Linked DNA regions of Saccharomyces cerevisiae S288C. Changing the gene in region 1 together with any one later gene gives a genetic interaction. Each region holds a gene or a part of one and is shown on either strand. Other genes may lie near its edges.

Region 1 (8,444 bases):
GTAATAGACATGTGATACATTTTTATGTACACTCTATACTTTCAGCATATAAATACAGAGATAAGTTGAAGTTTGATAGCTCAATTGATCAGTTTGTATGATAAGCAGTGAAAAAAAAAATCAAAACAGATAACAAACAGCGAAATGTCAAATAGTAACGGTGATAATAAGTATGGTGTCATTACAATTGGTGATGAGAAAAAGTTCCAAGCTACCATTGCGCCACTTGGTGCAACTTTGGTAGACCTGAAGGTAAACGGCCAATCAGTCGTTCAAGGTTATTCAAACGTACAAGACTATTTAACAGATGGTAACATGATGGGCGCTACAGTTGGTCGTTATGCCAACCGTATCGCCAAGGGTGTTTTCAGCCTGGATGATGGTCCTCACAAGTTAACTGTTAACAATTGTGGTAACACAAATCACAGCAGTATCAGTTCCTTAAATCTTAAGCAGTACAAGGCGTCCCCTGTTGAGAATCCTTCCAAGGGCGTTTACGTTGTTGAATTTAAATTGTTGGATGATCACACACAGCCCAACCCTAACGAGTTTCCAGGTGACTTGGAAGTCACAGTGAAGTACACTTTGAATGTTGCAGAAATGACTTTAGACATGGAATACCAAGCACAGTTAGTTCGTGGTGATGCTACTCCAATTAATATGACCAACCACTCGTATTTTAACTTGAACAAAGTCAAGAGTGAGAAGTCCATTCGTGGTACAGAAGTTAAGGTCTGCTCGAACAAATCGCTTGAAGTTACAGAGGGGGCATTGCTTCCAACTGGTAAGATCATTGAAAGGAACATTGCTACTTTTGATTCAACTAAGCCCACCGTTTTGCATGAAGATACTCCGGTCTTTGATTGCACTTTCATTATTGACGCTAACAAGGATTTGAAGACTACAGATTCTGTGAGTGTCAACAAATTGGTTCCTGTTTTTAAGGCCTATCATCCCGAATCTCACATCAAATTTGAGGTTTCGACGACAGAACCAACCGTTCATTTGTACACCGGTGATAATTTATGTGGCAAATTTGTGCCAAGGTCTGGATTTGCCGTTCAGCAAGGTAGATACGTTGATGCTATCAACCGTGATGAGTGGAGAGGTTGTGTTCTTCTGAAGCGCGGCGAGGTATACACTTCAAAGACTCAGTACAAATTCGATATTTAGGTGAGGCTGAAGCTTTTTACGTTTGTTACGTTTCTTCACTTGCTTGTAGATAAAACCTTTATAATGATATATGATCTAGATTAAACTCAACGTTTGTACGTTTAAACCTAAAAGTTTTTGGACCTGTCCCAAAATAAATATTATCACAAGTGGTAGTACTAAATTGAGCGTAACAGGCGGACTCTGTAGGCTTTTTGTGAGTTTGGGGTCTGAATATTTTTTACTCTTAAAAAAGAATACAGAACTTACTAAAAAAAATCCGTACTAAAAAGGTAGAAACAAGAAATGGTTTATTTGAAAAAAATACTTTACGTCCCAGCCTCACTAAAATTGAGCAGGAAACCGTATATCAAAACTATCTACCAAGAGAGTTCTGGTAAAAACATTTATATGAATAAAGATTAAATTATGCCTATTTTTTTCCTAGCAGTACATTCACTATGTTTCTATATTTAACGCTTTGTCGTTATCCCGGATAAAATTCTTCAGGTTATTTGCAGACGTTTGTCACATTATTTTTTCATTGACAAAATTTCACGAACTCTAGTAATGTTCAAATTCAAATGTCATGCAAGGCCCCTATGAACATTATTACGCTGTTTAACCAGCGGATAATAATTAGATCGCGTTCGTCGTAAATATAAAACATACGCTCTGTAAGTAGGTCCCTCTGAACGTTGGCAATTTGACAGTGAACTAATGAGTCGTATTCATAAAGAAACATCAACTGTGTACCAAAATACTTATTTGGGATTATGTGTTTATAGCCTTGATTACCAATGTTTGCATAAATAGAAGTTACCCTATTTCTTTGAATAATATAACATTACATTTCTGCAATATTCACATCATCATATAACCCAAAATTCACAGTATCGTGTGCTAAATCGGTTAAAAAACCGCCTCACCTGCACCCATAGTATACCTGCAATTTTTTTCTTCATTTTCTCTTAAATTTACTTGTTATTCTTTTTACGAAGCCAATTTTCATAGGGGAAAAATGCTTAACTTGAACAACGTAATAAACCACAATCATACCGGCAATGTTGAAAAGGATATAAGCCTAAATGAAACCGAAGTTTCTCCATAAGTAACTAAAGCTAGCATTTATGCGCGCCAAGTATTCATCACCTACTTTGTACTGACAATAGGCGCAATCTGCTGTTGCATCTGGATTTGCAATATACCCAGTCCCAAATTCAAAAAACGGTTTGGTAAATTCACCACATGTTTGGCCTACCGGGGGGTTGAAAAGAGACAACTCTTTCTTTGAACATCTTACGGGTTTGTCATGCATCAATAATCCAACTAAATTTTGCAAAAAATACGTGTAAGGGGATAGTTTCCACATGAATGTCCAGAAACCAGGCATTAAAGAGGCAGGTTGGACAGCACCGCAGAAAGAGAGCAAAAACGAAAGTATAAAACCTACAATAACATTGGCAGATTGTAGATTTGGAGACATGTACAGAATCATTAAAGCAAGACCAATATAGTAAAGTTGAAAAAGTATGGCATAGTTCAGATAAAAAACACTTGACCTAGAGGCTTCGGTAAAGACACCCAGAGGGAAATATGATGAAACGAAAAAAATTGTTGAAAACAATAAATGGTAAGGCAATTCATTTAAATAATGGGTAATCAAAAGTAAAGACCAATGAAACATATTAGATTTGGACTCACGAACTTCATATAGCTCCTTAGCAACGGTAGCACGCTCCTGTATTTGGTTTGTTGCAGGAGCTGATATAACGATAGCCATGAAACAGGCAAATAAGCTATTTTGTAATCCAATAGCATTTACACCCACATGGAAAAAGGTAAAACCAATGAACAAGCCACTGATCATCAATAACATCATTTTGGCCATGATGTAGTTCAAGTTTCTCCAAAATGTTAAACTGGATCTTTTCAGCACATGATGGAATTGGTAGGAATACGATGTTGCATACTTAGAGGCCCTTGTAGCTGTTTTATGCAAAGTTGTAGAAGATAAGTCCTTAATCATGTCATTTATTTTTTCGTTAATGTTTGCATACTCGTGAGATTTTTGCCATATATCAGGCCAGTTCTGTTGAACAGAAGCGGTGGCCCCAGCTCCTATGGCTTCTAAAATATACTCTGCCGGATTTTCATTTTGTTGACATTTCCTGGCTCCGTTCTTTTCGAAATACTTAATGACAGAACTTGAATTTTTACCTATTTCACCAAAATAAATTGTTTGACCGCCTTTTCCCAAAAGCAATAATCTGTCAAACTGTTCAAAAAGAGTAGCTGATGGTTGATGAATAGTACATAAAATTGATTGACCTGCTAGAGCTAATCTTTTTAACATTTTGACGACGGCCCACGCGGATTGGGAATCCAAGCCAGAGGTCGGTTCGTCCAAAAACAATAACAGATCCGGCTTGCCAACTAGCTCAACGCCAATTGATAGTTTCTTTCTCTGTTCAACATTCAAGCCGTAACCAATTTCGCCGACAAGAGCTTCTGAGAACTCCTGCATTTCAAGAATAGATATAATTTTTTCAACATATTCCATCTTTTCAGCGTCAGGAATAGACTGTGGCCGACGCATACGAGCACTAAATTGTAGCGATTCTTTGACAGTAAGTTCAGCAACATGAAGATCTTGCTGTTGAACATAACCGGTACGCCTTTTGAAACTAGCGTCCATTGGGAGACCATCAACTAACATATCACCAGTAATCGTTCCCACGTTCCTTTGAGCCAAAGTGTTTAATAATGTGGTCTTACCAGCGCCGGACTCACCTATTAATGCTGTCAAAGTACCAGGAACACAGTAACCGCTTACGCTGTCCAGAAGTTTACGTTGTCCGCTAGAATGAGGAATTGTGAAAGAAACATTTTTCCAAATAAACACCCCGGTAGATTCCAAACCTTCAAAGTCTGCACTTGTGCTATCGTCGTTACTTGAAGCTATCTCTTTCATATCCTGTGTTGCTATAGAGGCATTAAGGTTCTCTTCGTCATTTTTGCTGCTCCATGATCTTTGTATAGCATTCTTTGTGCCCTTCTTGACGACCAGAGCATCACCACCACTTTTGACAGGACTTTTGTACTCAGTGAAAACCGCCCTCAAGACGATGTAGCCAATTAAGAAACACCACATGATGCCGAAGTTTCTCCAAGTATTTTTGTACTCATATTGATATTGGGCCCTCAAATAATCATCACCTAGGACCCAAGATTGGCCAGGCCTTGAACCAACAAAAGCACACACTTGATTTTCTGGCAAGATGTTTTCAAACCCAGGTCCAGAAGGAACCAAAGTGCCACCACAATCCATATGTCTTCCATGAAATTCTGCATTTAACATCGATTCAAATGCATATCTAATGGGTAGAATGTACGAAATCCACTTAAACCATGGATGCATTGAAGGTAATTGTATCATGTACGTCGAATACATGGCAATAGATAACATCACAACACCGGCAATGGAGTTGGCCTGGGACAATGTATCGCATAAAGATGAAACCATCTGAAACAAACTTGTAATAGCTTCTGAACACATTGTCAATAACAAATACATAGTAAAAAAAGCACCGGCGCTTCTATGCAAACCGGCTAAGAAGTACAGGATGATTATGAAAAATGTTAGACCAATCATTCTGAATGGAAAAGAAGAAATCGTACTTGCTAACGCTTCAGCTGAGGGATGATATAGTGAATAGACCTTGTGTTTTTGCAATATTGGCCTGTGCTCGAAACTAATATTAGCTAAACCCATCAAAGAATAATATAAGAGGGAAAAAAACAGAACGCCACTTCTAGAAAAGGCCCCTAGAGTTGAAGAAGGTGCTTGGTAGAACAATGACCCAGTGATAAAAGCCTGTGCTATAGCAGCGCATGTGTTGATAACGGTGTATGACTTATCACCGTAAATCCTTAGAAAACCTCTAATAGTGCAAAGTCTAATTTGCTCCCAATAAGAGACCGTATAATAAGATTTTTTTCTTGTACCTTTCGACTTTTCTTGTGCCATAGACTCATTGTATGTTTTTTTGGTCCATTCAGTATTCACTTCATGTTTGTACTTCTGAATTTCACCTTTTAGGCGGGCATATTCTGGGGAATCAAGCCAGTATTTTTCGAATTCATCAGCGGTATGAGGTACTTGATACTCAAAGCCAGGCTTTATTTCGTGCAGACCATTAGGATCAGTAATTGCGGTCAAATATTCAGCAGTCGATTGTCTCGGTGGACACAAGTAACCCATGTTTTCAAAATAATCTTTTGCTTCAGTAGTTTTGCCGCAAAATATTTGTCTTCCAGCGTATAGAACAGTGACTTTATCAAAAGTTTCATAAATGTTTTCACTGGCTTGGTAAACCGTAACAAGGGCCGTTGTACCTAACAGATTTGTCATAGTACGAATAGCTCGTGCAAATTCTAGCGCGGTAGAAGAGTCAAGACCTCTTGTAGCATTATCCCAGCAGTAAATTGAACCTTTCGCTGCTAATGCTTCAGCAATGGAAACGCGTTTACGCTCACCTCCAGATACACCGCTGATGAAATCGTTACCAACTTTGGTATCGAAAGTATGCGTCAAACCAAAAATTTTAGCATAGAATTCTCTATTGGCAGTAATATACTCTTCTTTCGTTACATTATTGACTCTTTTTGCGGGCATCTTACAGGAAATAGCAAAATCTAGAGTTTGTTTTACTGTCAAATGTGGGAAATGAACATCTTGCTCACCATTATAGATTACATCTGGCTTGTAATGTTGCATCATTTCTTTCTGAGGGATACCATCGTACGATATATGTCCTGTTGTTACACCACCTGCAAACTGACTGGTCTCACCAGCAGCGCTCTTTAAAAATGATGTACAGCCAGCGCCTGGTCTTCCTAGGACAAGGACCATCTCTCCTGATTTAGCCAGCAAACTGACATTCTTCAAAATGATCTTCATCTTATTGCGATTCTTCCGCTCACGGATACCCTTGATAATTGTCCATGGTAAACACAAAATATCGCCAAAGGTTTGGCCCTCCAAAAAAGAAGAATCCAAACCTTCTACTGAAACGCATTCCATGGCTACACCTGCCTTACGAAGATGAATCCCTTGTTCAGAAGCTTATTTAACATAAGATTTGATTATAGCTGACGCATCAAAAGTGTCGGGAATAGGACACCTCAATTCCGTATCGCCGTCTTTAACAGTATGGAAATCCATTATGTTTAGATTGATTTGAGGTCTACCATCACTACTTCTAATAAGAGTATATTAGTGCAAGTGTAAAATATCAGAATTCCCGGATACTTTCCTTGAAATTTCTTTGCGTGCAATGGAGTATATTAATAACTGCATTTTGGACGCTTACGTTATAAAGGGACACCCTTTACTTCGTAAGGAAGCGAAAAAGAAACGGCTGATTATAGCGATGGACAGAGAAAGGTTTCTTCTAAACTCTCTTCCTTCAGAAAATGCGTTGTGTAGCTGGGATAGCAGTGTTCAAATATAAGACATTAAGTAAAAAGGTACGTTGCAAGAGCAAAAGTTTTCATATTTCCAGCCACTAGCACAATAAACAAATGAAATCACGTTCAACTTCTTTTTTCCACAATAAGAGATCTTAACTCTAAAAGAATGGTACCTAAGCCCTCATATGAAACGAAACATAGATGTTTTACCAGGTGAGTCATATAAATATATATATATATATATCGTGAGAGATTCGATAGCAGAACATGTTCTTCTCTTGGACATCTTCCCAATTTTAATGTACCAGCAGTAACTAAAATGTTGCAGCACGGTAGCCACACCCTTCGCCGTCAAAGAGTTGTAACATGATTTATTTGTTGTTCGGGTATTCCTCTACAGTATCTTTTCAAGATTGAGTGGATCCTGCAGATATTACATGCCAATACAATCATACAATCATTCATTCATGGAAATTTTTTTTCTTCATGAGTTTGAAATAAGGCCTTTTTAGAACTTTCTGAGTACTCCTTCTAAACGCTCTGCTACAATGTATACTGTTTTCTCCCTTTCATCTTTATTAGAAAAGTTCATTAATTTTAGTTTTTACCTTTCAATGCGGCACGCTGACATTTTTTATTTTGTTTCATCTTTGTGATTTTCAAAAATAAAACTAAATGTATCCAATCTTGTCCAAGAACTTTATATGATCTTTATATAATAACAATATTTTGAAGTAACCAAAAATGTCTCGAATAAAATTACGGTTATGAGCCTAATTTATTTGTGAATTGGGAATATAATGCAGCCGAATAGTACTAACGTAGACAGCACCCAGACACTCAGGACCCTGATTTACGTTTATGCTTTCTTCCATCCAATGAGCTCTCAGTATGTCATTAACAAGTGTAAAATTGAAAGGATAAATCAAACTATAAACTTATTGAATTGTCAAACTATCAAGAAAAATCAAATAGCAAAAGCGTGGGTCTTTTGCAGCGAAAGGGCGTTTATCAAGACTTTTACGCGAGGGAATTGCTTTACGTTTTGAACAAGACAAACCACGACCACAAGCTAGAACGGCGTGCGAGATTAAAATTATTTAGACAGGATGTGGGTGCCATCATTCACAAGCTAAAAGCTATCATATTACGGCCCAGGAATGTCTCATACAAAGTTATTTTACTAAGGTGCTTACATAAATACCGTCTGCCGTCATATAAGCAACTGTACAGCTTGTGCAAGACTATATCCGGGCCCTAATTTTTTGCTCCCAAGGAACAATTGCCCTAGCCCTAAAAATTTGTTTTATTTCCCATATTTAGCTGAATCCGCAATGACCTTGCTTGTCTAATGGACAAGTTTATGACACCAAGCTAAAAAAACCATACCGCAGAAGTGAGAGTTTGGGCGGTTCGAACACGATTTGTTGATGCAATGTTAGTACGATAGACAATTTGAGAAAGGAAACTTTCAAAACGTTACTGTACACTTTAGAAGTGAAACTACAATGACCGGCTAACCGCATATAGCCCGTCAGTAATACCTTGGTCTAATGAATGTCTGCAAACAACAGAATTGGGAGGTTAAACCTTCGCCATCAATTTTCATGAGAAAGCGACCACATTAGGTGGCATCTTCAACAATCGATTTTTACAACACAATTGACTAAAGTGTGTACCACACCGAAAAACGTGCGCAATAATTTAGACCCTGGATGCGGCTTCATAGAATCAATGGGATTCGCGAACGACGCTATCATCCGCAATCTTTTCAGAGGTGCCAAAATGTGCAAATTCTAGAATGTCATGGAAAAAAA
Region 2 (3,854 bases), on another chromosome or scaffold:
GATGCAAGCTTGCTTTTTCTTTCATGACTATTTAAATGCCTTCTTAATTGCTGATTTGTGACAAATCTTTTTTGACATAATGTGCACGCTTTGGGCTTGATTTGTGAATGAGTCCATTTGTGAACTCGTAGATGGCACGGTCTTATAAATTTTTTGCCACATCCCGGCTCATCACAATGATACGGCTTTTGATTGGTATGCGAATTTTGGTGTTGCTGAAGCAAACTAGGTCTGTTGTAGACTTTCTCACAACCGTCAAAAGAACATTTGTAATTTCTAGACTTGGTTCTCCCTATATCCGTCATTGTTTTGGTGGCCACGTATTCTGGTACCACTTGTGCACACCAGCGTAAAAGTTGTCATTTTCATCTTCTTTAGCGTATTTATTGTCCGAGACTGTTAAAGAAAAATTATTACTGTTTTTTTGCTATTACTAAAGAATAAATAACTATAAAATATGAAATAGAATCTATATGGAACATGCAGAATTTCGCTTTGGTTTAAGCCCACTTACCGATCAAAGCCATGATACCAGCACCGAAAAGAGTGCATATAACGTTGAAGGACAATTCTCTTAGATCCTTTGTTCTTTGAGGATTGAATATAAAGTCTCTTGCTAGTAGTTCAACCAAACCAGTGTACAATAAGATACCAGCAGAAATGGCATCCAAAACACCAGAGATAACAAGCGCAGTGTAAGAACCGCTGACGTATCTGGTACGAACACCCAAACCGATGGCCACACAGATTGGTGTGGTTAACCCATACGCAACACATAGGGCCCATGGCCACCATCTCTTTGATCTAGGGAATTCAATGGCTGACAATCTTGCACCAATACCTAAACCTTCAAATGATTGATGGAACACTAAGACAGGGTATAGGGAGGAGAACTCATCACCAACACTTCCCAGGTTTAGACCGATCATAACGGAGTGGAAAATCACACCGAATTCTAAAATTAAAAAGGCATAAAATTGTGCTTGAAATGATTGAACAACATCCATGGATGTAGCGTCTGAATCTTCATAATACTCTACTCCGTTCTTGGTGTCATGAGATCCATTTGCAGTACCATTCTCATTGTCATTCTCACTTGAAACAGCTGCAGTGTTTCTCACAACAGTGTCTTTAATTTCATCGTGGGTATGGTCATGGGAAAGACCATACTTTCTTTCAACCCAGACGCTACTGAATAGATCAGTAAGGAAAGTGAAGGTCAAACTCGTTAGCATAATGGCAGGACACCATGAATAAAGACCCCAGTTACCGGTTTGTCCTACACAAGTGGTACCACCAATCGCACCATAAGCAGGGTCCATTAAGTGGATAAATGCGGTTGCAACAATAACACCGGAACCAAAATACTTTGCGAAAAGGTAAACATATAGAGGAATTCTCAATCTTTTCACTTTTGTTGAGATTAATGGGAACATGGTGAAAAAAGTACTCACGAAAAGAATAACAAAGACGGAAGATATTCTGGCACCTAAGTTACCATTGTACTCGTTTCCACCAAAGTAAACACCTTGCAAAACACAGGTCTTCCACACATCATCAGGGGTTTTATCGGCAAGTGTAACTTCAGAAGGGTCCCATTGTTTCCACCACGGCGTAGTAACGTTGCTCATAATTCCTTTTTTGATATTTGTGCTGTTGTTTTATTGTCTATACTTGCAGTTTTTTTGTAAATAGGGAAGAGATGAGATCATGACAGCCGATACCAGGCCTCTATTTATAACTAAGTCATCGAGCTAATGCCGTGCGTAATTTCTTTTTTTCTTAATTTCGTTCTACACATTTGCTCTCAACCTACTTTCCATGACCTTCAAGGTCAAATATGTTCATCTGTCTCATCTCATTGGAGAGAAGATACCTGAGCACATCTGATAATTTTGGGAAATGTCATTGTAATTTGAAGAATACCGCACAGATGAGAACCTTGAGGGTATCTTTGGTCCTTCGAGGTTTTTACAGGCAAGAGAGTACGGGTGTATTGTTTTTTAAGCAGCAACTATATTTTTTTTTAGTTATCTGGCGCGCGCGCCTTAGCTGAAGAAAACTGACGGTAACGGTACCCCAAAGGTCACAATAAGTACTTGCGCCATGTTCTAGTGCATTTGACTAATTTGCCGTAGCGTGGATCTGCATTGTCCAAAGGGTAGGAGTCACATCAGGTGTTTGTTGCGCCCAGTTTGGAAACATTTGTCCCATAGAGTGATGAATGTGAGCTCATGTCGCCGTAATCGCCGTGTAATTTACCGCAGGAATTGGCCATAATCAGACATTAGTGTCAATTTGTCCTTTCATATTAGGAAAGTCTGAAATACTCTTGCCTTCTAGAAAATTTTCATAGAAGCTTGGCAATTGCTTCTCTCAAATGCTGTTATTTCCACCCTAATGAAAGAAGCATATCAGATTCAGAGATCTTGTTAAATCCAATTTTATGTCATAATGTCGATAATTGACGTAATTTCCATTTCGTACTATGTAAAATAATGCTTATTTGGCACTTTGGTGTTTGGCAGAATACCATTTCTTTTTATTAGGGACAAAAAAAGAAATATCTGACCTGAAAGTATTTTTTTTTTTATTATAGATTTTCTCTCCAGGTACATCTATCTCAAGTCTAACCGGGATTTGACGTCTAATAGATTTTAAAATACCAATTGAAGATTGGTGCCGCTTGTTTTCCTTCTTAAAACAAGCGTATTCTTTCTAAGGCTCTCCTCCCACAAAATAATCTTTAAAGTATCGATTATCAAGGTGGACACAAAGGATATAATGTGGAGCAGTGAAACATCTGCAATCCGGGAATCGGAGAGCATTTAGAAAAATTGTGAAGAAACAGCAAGTTTTAGGCCAAATAATTTTTCTTCTTGAAGCATCAAGTTATCCGTGGCATACTTTGAATGGAAACTGAATTAACTGCTGTGATACAGAACAAAAATAAAGAGGATGGCAGGGAGAGGAAATGATAAAATAAGTTACGCCACTTAAGCAAAAATGATAGATGAAGGGCCCAATTAAAGATCACTTTTTTCTTAGCGAAGTATGCGGGAGAATGCTTGATTGACTCTCGTAAAGGCTCTCGAAAAAAATAGGCGCGTTTAGTAACAAAGAACATGGTAGTACAATTGATTAATACTTTTTTTTTCTGTTTTAGCAGTGGAGCTCTTAGCGAAGGAGCGATGTGCTGTGGGACTTCTCAACCCCCTTCATTCTGTAATTTGCCTAATTCATATTATGAGGATTTGTCGTCCTAAAATTTGGAAGTAGCATATTTCTTCTTCACTCAAGAAGAAATACCCCTCTAGATATTAGCTTTATTCTGGTGGCCTGTCACTGTCACATATATTATTCAATGATTATTGGTTTTCTAGTTCCATTCGCACGATAACAGAGGAACAATCTATTTACAGTAGCGCTGATGGCATCTTGTGTGAAACTAATGGTATTTGCGTAGACAAAACCCAATACACATCTAAATTGTCGATACTTGTGAGGTGTGGATATTCTAACGATCAAAATAGCTTAGATGAAACGACTTGCTGTGCTGCGGGTGTGACTGAATGTATTTTCAACGTACTGAATGTACTCTCAACGTGGGCGTGAAGTTGAGGGCTGGGCAGAATCTAGAGTGGATCATAGCAAATATGTTAAACATAGAAGTAAACTGAGAGACTGACGAGTTTCTTTTGTCAACAGGCGTTGAATCTTGTTAGATATTAACGAGGTGGATTTTTGGCAGGTAATTTCGCAACCCGACTTTTCAATTTGCGCTTCCCATATTTTACACTTTTTTTAGTCAGTAAATGCAAACGACAGCAAATAAATGAATTAAATCAGCTAAG

The links. Genes that interact genetically often act in the same process or in processes that back each other up.
Region 2: of PDR18 (region 1) and ZRT1, changing one suppresses a phenotype caused by changing the other (phenotypic suppression), as found in Saccharomyces cerevisiae (one study listed by BioGRID).

Annotation. Positions count from the first base shown.
Region 1 is NC_001146.8:763,169-771,612, reverse strand, and holds PDR18 (ATP-binding cassette multidrug transporter PDR18), read right to left. Parts: upstream 6,239-8,444; coding exon 2,237-6,238; downstream 1-2,236. Other genes in the region: YNR071C (aldose 1-epimerase superfamily protein), read left to right, coding at 145-1,173.
Region 2 is NC_001139.9:18,755-22,608, reverse strand, and holds ZRT1 (high-affinity Zn(2+) transporter ZRT1), read right to left. Parts: upstream 1,632-3,854; coding exon 501-1,631; downstream 1-500. Other genes in the region: FZF1 (Fzf1p), read right to left, coding at 1-305. UniProt on the Saccharomyces cerevisiae protein: High-affinity zinc transport protein.